Bombyx mori: one gene and its partner. Each later gene encodes a partner of the first gene's protein in a complex. Links are inferred from orthologs where the notes say so. Each region holds a gene or a part of one and is shown on either strand. Other genes may lie near its edges. The genes, in order: NADH dehydrogenase [ubiquinone] 1 beta subcomplex subunit 10; NADH dehydrogenase [ubiquinone] 1 beta subcomplex subunit 11, mitochondrial.

Region 1 (4,599 bases):
GACCGCGGGCCCAAGGAATTTAGGGCCCACCCACTAAACGACTCGCCTGCACTCTTACACCCGGCGTCCGATCTCCGTCCGGGGTCAAAACCCGGTCAGAGTAGGGGGGTTCCCGCGGTCAACACTACAACCAGACACGCGGCGCCACCCCGAGGACGCCCGACCGACGGGTCGTCGAGGCGATAGTCGACGACCAACGACGTCAGTCTCCGCGGTACGGCGGCCCTTCAGGCCGCCCGGGCGATGCCGCTGGTGTTCCGGGATACCCCGCTGGGCCAGAACCAGCCTGCCGGGTCGGAACGGGACGAAAATGCGGACCGCATCGCAGTCCGCAGCCGCCGACGCGTCGTCCCGTCCTCCTGGTGCCAGCGCGCTAGAGTGACGGTAGCGTGCGGCGCAGTCTCAGCCCCCTTAGGTCGCCCCGTGACCATCACCGGGAGGAGACTGCCTTCTCATAGGGGCTGGAGCTGGACAAACGCCCTCCTCCGAGCCCCGGCTCGACGGCGGCGGCACGGCGCCGAGAGGGAGGAAGAGTTCTCCCTCTCCCGTTCCGCCGCCTCCTTCTGCGAGATGGTGGACTCGCAGAAGTCGAAGACTGTTGAAGCTAGACCAGCCTTTCTGCCGCTTTTAACCAGCCAAGACTATTAATGTTCTCTGTATAATGGTTCATCACCACAAGAGTAAATGTTCTTACTAATATTCACAACAGGAGGCACAAGGTAGATGGACTACCTAACTAGTTATTTACTTACAAAAAATAAGGTTAGATTGGTATAAAATATTTAAACATAAACAGAAAATAAAGACAGAGGATTATGAATATTTATTGCAACAACAAGTTTTATCTACTATTTATAACTGATTTAAATGATCACTTTGTAAGGTCTGATAAGGGACCATTGCGTCGTTCCCAGACCATGCGATGCTTCTGCTTCATGTAAGCTTTTCGCGCATCACCATAAGCACCGAGGTCACCATCTGAAATCGAATATGAACAGTGTTTAAAATGTCATCACTGTATGAGAGCCCGCAATTAATAAGTTAACATAAACAATAAAAGAGTATTTCTTTCATGTCTTTATCATATGCCTATTTTCCAATTCTATGTTTTAATGCATTTCCGAATTAACAAATAGATACAAAAAATATAGTGGTGGAAATAGAAAACATATTAAAAATAATTGCAACATCAACAATATCAATACCATGATGTCAGTGACCAAAGACTTTTTGCTCAACAAAGGTTTATAGTACAGAGGCAGTGGAGTTTACTGCCATATAATGACATAGACAGCAATCCATTGATATTGTGTCACTTCATGAGACCAACTGACAAATATTAGATAATCCTACCTTTCACACAGGATCTCTGATTTCTTAGAATATTACAATCTATAATTGATATATCTGAGAAATAATGTTAACTCGATTTTTCAAGTATGTTATCTCTCTTATTAAAATAAATTAACCCTAAAAACAATCAGACCGGCCTTACCATTCTCAAGAAGGAAACTATAGGAAAATGAATGTTATAAAATTCAATAGTACACAGGGTTGAAGTTATTGTTGTCTAAAAGACATTTCTTTATATAGCTTAACATTTATACACAACACCTATTATTGTCCTGTTCCACAGAAAGTCATGCATTCTGCTTTGCAAGGTGGGGTGGCCTCTGCATAACCCAACAGATATTTTTTCCTTATATTTAAAAGTGGGTGTAGGGTTACTCATGCTGCTGTGTCACATGGTAGGCTCTGAACTGATCTGGTGCAATTAAAGAAAAAAATTGTAAGGTCCTTTATTTCATTCAATTCAATGCTTTTTACTTAGACATGTCATTTTTTTTTTATTGCTTAGATGGGTGGACGAGCTCACAGCCCACCTGGTGTTAAGTGGTTACTGGAGCCCATAGACATCCACAACGTAAATGCCCCACCCACCTTGAGATACAAGTTCTAAGGTCTCAAGTATAGTTACATATACATATATTTGATAAAGCATAATTAAAGAGTATCCCAAATTATGAATTACATACATTTAATGAACCAAGCTTCCTCAGCAGACTTGTACTTGTCCCAAAGAGACCTGCATTTAGTTGCATGGTCTGGTTGCTCATACATCATGCAATCTTCATAGCGTTGCCTAAGAATGCTTAATATCTCAGAGTCTACTGCCCTAAAATGAAATATATTATTATAATAGACTAGCTGACCCGGCAGACTTCGTGGTGCCTCAATCTATAAATAAAAGACCTAAACTTTTGTATAAAATAAACTTAAAACAAACAAAAGGAATCCGGCTGACAAGGGACACATCAAAGGAAAAACAACATTATTTTTATTTAGCTCCAAGCATTTTCATATTTATTTACCTTTTAAACCTTCTCTGGACTTCCACAAATCATTCAAGACCAAAATTAGACAAATCAGTCTAGCCGTTCTCGAGTTTTAGCGAGACTAACGAACAGCAATTCATTTTATATATAGAGATAGATAGATAATTTCACTTTCATACAACTATTAAAATTAAATGTAAGTCTATATTCAGTTATAGTTCTCCAGCAGTTTGAAGGAGGATGGAAAATAAATTCATGCCTAATACAACAAATTGAAGAGTTATTACAAAATATTTAATGGAACAATTGGCTATTTTCCAAAGACTGTCCGTTATTTTACCTAGTTACTAAGTAGCATATTATTAACCTGATTATGATATTAAATGAATGTGATTTAGCTAACCTGTCTCGTTTAAATTGAGCATTAGCCTCAAAGTCGCAAACGACGTCGTCGTCGTAGCACTGGTCAATAGTCGGTACACGACGGTAGTTTTGATGATACCAAGGGTACTTCTTCTGGTTTGGTTCGACAACAGTTTCTGCGTACAATGAAAAAATTACTCACTTACATAACAACACACTAGTTTTATGATATCAAATTAACCCACCTCGGAACCATGTTACCGGAGCATCGACTGTATTGTAGAGAGCATTGCAAAATGCTCTAAACACATTATCATCAGGAGGATTTCCGTCTTGTACCATATTAAAATTGAGATATCGTTGTTTAAATTTTATTAAATGTTATTTGTCTTCTCGCCCCTTCTCTCATCTGTCAGTTTTGACAGCTGTCATCTCGTTTCTCGCTTTAGTTTCATTTGACTATCGGATAGGCACAGGAAAATACACCCCAAACAGGTAAACCTTAATAACAAAGAGACAGCTCATTTCTATTGTTCCAATTCCCGCCAAAAAGTCCAGCCGTGTATTTATCAGTAATTTTGTCAAAAAAACTATATCAAGAATCATCCTGCAGTGACGTTGCTATACCATCTGAGGCCCGTGGCAAATCGGATGAGGCCCCAACATAAAATGATAGCGTTGTAATTAAATGTTAATAAAGTAACGAAGTAGTTAGGTACGCAACAGTATTACTGTGTACATTAGTTAAACGTACAAATTCTAAAATGAAGTTTCGTCATACGATTTCATAAAGCGTTTAAATCATATTAATTAATTTTAATTTGTATACGATCTATAATCATAATTAAATATAATTGGTTTTAAGACATTATGTTAAATATCTTTTTTTAAGTATATTTTGTTCAATATGTTACTTTATTTTATGGCCATGGCTTTTCCCAGTCCCGCCACCCTATATTTATTCCATATTATGGAGGGATGAGCTATTTTCAATAATATTATGCTTAAAATTTGTCACAAAATAATATTATTGTACAGTCTATGCTCTTAATTTTTGGCAGAATGTTGGGCCGCCAACTTCGCCAAGTGCTTGTTCTATGCGTATTCATTCTGCGGAGATTAGAATGAAAATGATGGTGAGGAATAAGTACCTATAAATAATAGTTTTTTCTATTGTTCCCTCTGTGCCTTCCTAACCCATTAATCCGATTGTGCCAAATTTTATTAATGCTGTCTAGTCAAGTCAAGGGGAGGTTTCTAGTATTATATGTCATATTTTTCAGAGAAATTCTACTTAACTAGGAATTGGAATGGAATTTGGCGTTTGCCGGGACTGTTAATACATTAAAATTTTGCTTTGTAGCGCTAGCAAACAATTCGCCGTTGCTATCGTCAGTCGGTATACACAAATAATTTAGCTATATATTATTCTGGTCATAATTAAACTTTTTTTTGATATTTCCATACATATTCTTTTTTTTATTTTTTAAATAAAAAAATAAAGAAATATTTACTAACAATCACGCCACGTTAACTAGTCCCGTGATAAGTTCGTAAAGAACTTGTGTTACAGGTACCAGATAACGGAAATAAATGTAAGATTTTTATTATACACATTCATATATTTAATATACATCCATAACCCTGGAAAATACATTTATATTTATCATACAAATATCTTCCCTTGGCGGGATCCGAGCCCGCGACCCCCTTGTGTAGTGACCATGTCACTTACCACTACACCAGACGGCCGTTAAATAATAGATATAAATATTACTTATAATTACATATAAATCAATACTTTTTTTCTCAAACAGCATTTATCTTTTATTCAAATTTTCCATTTGCATTCCGTTTAGAGGGATAAAATGGCGTTTTCCATTACATTCGACTACAGCGT
Region 2 (2,878 bases), on another chromosome or scaffold:
TGAGTTCTAAATCGTCTTTATAGTTCAATTGCTCCATCCTTCAAACTGAAACACATCACTTCAATGCAGAAATACACTGGTTGGTGGTACCTAGCCACATAGACTCTCAAGAAAGTGTCTAATTATCACCAGTAATCTGGTTGGTTTTTGTTACAAGATGTTTTTTCTCCACCCTGAAATTTTATTGCGAACATGTGTTAGGTACATGTATCATATGGAAAATTGGTACCTCGCTGTCAGATTTAAACATCAATCTAGACACTATAACTCAATATGATTACACCTTTGAGACAGGACGACTTCATATATTAGTTGTTTAGATTTTTCAGAGCAGTCGTGATCACTATAATGTATATCAAAAAACTCTACAAGGAACATATGAGTTGTCTATTATCAAAGGTGGCATTCTGTGCATTTGGACAAAAAAATGTTATTGATATGTCAATACAGATTGATTTGAATTTAATCGTCTCCTTCAAAGAATACGGTTCAAAACCTGCATTAAATAAAGGTTAATACTTAACCTGTTATTTATCTAAAATGTCGTTCAGAAGAGTTTTGTAACTGCCAATAGAATACAAAGTCAATAATTTGTTTTTCTGATTTACCAATAATTGTCCAAAAGTCACATTGCCGGCTTTGATAATAGTCGACTCATATATACAAACATGACTTTCGTATATATTAAATTTAATTCATCCTGAAATATTTACACAAATTTTCTATAAGTATAAGTAATACTAAATGTATAGCAATCTTAGGTATTTACAATCTGTTTTTTTTTAATATGGCTAAATTAAAAACAACAAACTGTTAACATAACTTTACTATGTACTGAATTCTTCTACATATGCCATATGTATTGGATAGAGTGATTATATTTAGATGATTATTTCAACATCACACAACTCGGATTCATCAGGCAGCTTTATAAGTTTGGGATCAATAAAGTTGGGACTGATCGGTGGAAGACCTGCTTTTTCACGACGTCTTAATTCCAAAAATGCTTCACGCTGAGCCCAGTCCCTCATGTGTACATCGGGAGAATAGGCCCAACAGACACCACCAAAAACAATACATAATGTTACAGAAAAGAAAAAGGTGGCGTGATGGGCATTAGTGTCTTCTTCTTTGCTCGTATAGTCAAAACCGTAGCTAACCCAGTTCTTATCTTCTGTTTTGGTCTCACAAGCAGTTGTGGCGGTGTCGCTGTTCTTTTTAGAGGTGGAAATATTCCGACTTACTTTGTTGAAATGATTCCAAACGCTTCTTTGCACTAAGGGCATATGGCGTAGTTTTATCAAAGCGGCCATTCTAAAGACTACTATCCTCAAATTCACTGATTGAACTGTTCTTATTACTTTTAAATTATATTTATCTGACAATACATATAATATTGGCCAATTGGTTATGAAATCAAGAAAATTTACTCTTTTTCCACGATTTGTTTACGGCCATTGATCACCAGACCTTTAGGTTTCTTATAGTTTTCAAAATGATCAAGGATTTTCACAGATGATTAAGGACACTACTTAATCTTTGTTCGGGTCTCAGATTAAGACACTAATTATTGCCTTGAACCACGCCGCAGTAGATTTGTCGTATTTTTTCTAAGTCCGTAGACATGCATAGACATAACATGTAGTTTTACGTTCTACAATAGTTTCATCTACGCCCTAAAGATCCCTTTAATGGGTATACTTAATACTTATTTTACTAATAGTACACAATTCAATTAAATAATACTATTTAATACGGCAACAATATGTACTATTAGTAACAATATGTAGCCATACGGATGGATGGAAACGAATGCCAGCTTTTTACAACGGAAATTGTAAATCTGTAATTGAAAAAAGACCACTTGATTCCTATCACATTCTGTGGGAGTTTGAATGTTTAAGTAGGTAATGGCTTGTAGGTACTTATTAACTCCATGGTAATGGCAGACAACACTTGTCACTTAAGTGAAGTGACCGCAGCGCACCTTTCTTGAGGTGCGCTGCGGTAGTGTGTTACGGACTTAAGAGTCAGCAAAACAATTAAAATAGATAGTAATAGTCTAAGAAAAACACGTACTCAAAACACGATAACATTCAGCATGCTAGAAATGGGCAGATGGCACTGTACTACGCCATATCTTTATGTTTTGCGGCAAACGACAACTTTATAAAATCAGTGTAGCAACTTTTAAAAATCATCATATCGTTTACTTGGCAAATTCGAAGGATGAACTTGTCTTAGATTTCACACATCTAAATTATATCATATTTGCACATAACAATATACCTACTTACTTCCCATTAAAGTATAAATTCTACAAATAAATAATACTCAACAATATTTAAAATAAAATGAGCCAAGAACGTTTATCGATAAAACCTGATACATTGAAATCTTTTGTACAGCACTAAAACCGCCATGTTTTGTGGTCAGATGACGTCACAGTGGCACGAATTTTTGTTGACATTTCATTTCCATAGGTTTCCTACTTCAGTGAGGTAGATATAATTAAATGTTAAAACGTGGTTAAAACAGTTGATTGTCTTCTGTTATGACAATTGACTTCTCATCTAGACACGGACAGTAAAACATATTAGGGTTATATAAACATAAAATATTGTAAATGTTTAATAGCGTAATGTTCGTAATTCAAATTAACCATGAAGTCAGTGTTTTAAAATAACTCCTCACTAGACTTGCGCAAAACATCACTTCCCAATGTAATGTGAGATGACATCACTTTTACAGATAGGTGATATTACTCGAAAACATTACACATCACTCTTAACATTACTCGGTGCGTTCAATAGATACTGTGACGACGAATACATTGTATCTATACACCCGAATCATTACCTAAGTGATGTGTTGATAC

The links.
Region 2: the proteins of NADH dehydrogenase [ubiquinone] 1 beta subcomplex subunit 10 (region 1) and NADH dehydrogenase [ubiquinone] 1 beta subcomplex subunit 11, mitochondrial are in contact, whole or in part, in a cryo-EM structure (PDB 8BA0), measured with the Drosophila melanogaster proteins. The link is inferred for Bombyx mori from reciprocal best matches to the Drosophila melanogaster genes ND-PDSW and NP15.6. Residues at the interface, in NP_651972.1 of Drosophila melanogaster: Trp40, His42, Gln43, Phe45, Thr50, Ile51, Asp52, Ala65, Phe69, Arg70, Arg71, Met74, Val75, Glu78, Ile79, Ile82, Leu83, Arg86, Ala112, Asn115, Trp116, Ile118, Lys119, Ala129, Tyr133, Gln136, Lys137, His138, Arg139, Leu140; in NP_650774.1 of Drosophila melanogaster: Gln101, Phe102, Arg103, Trp105, Ala106, Gln107, Arg108, Glu109, Gly110, Phe111, Leu112, Glu113, Leu114, Val125, Ser126, Pro127, Asn128, Tyr129, Val130, Asp131, Pro132, Ser134, Ile135, Thr136, Leu137, Pro138, Leu143, Glu147, Ile148, Ile149.

The regions. Positions count from the first base shown.
Region 1 is NC_085123.1:6,798,014-6,802,612, forward strand, and holds NADH dehydrogenase [ubiquinone] 1 beta subcomplex subunit 10, read right to left. Parts: upstream 3,097-4,599; 5' UTR 3,042-3,096; coding exon 2,945-3,041; intron 2,876-2,944; coding exon 2,740-2,875; intron 2,739-2,739; exon of another isoform or gene 2,549-2,738; intron 2,177-2,548; coding exon 2,037-2,176; intron 1,438-2,036; exon of another isoform or gene 1,312-1,437; intron 979-1,311; coding exon 872-978; 3' UTR 802-871; downstream 1-801.
Region 2 is NC_085116.1:8,701,242-8,704,119, reverse strand, and holds NADH dehydrogenase [ubiquinone] 1 beta subcomplex subunit 11, mitochondrial, read right to left. Parts: upstream 1,587-2,878; 5' UTR 1,314-1,586; coding exon 882-1,313; 3' UTR 809-881; downstream 1-808.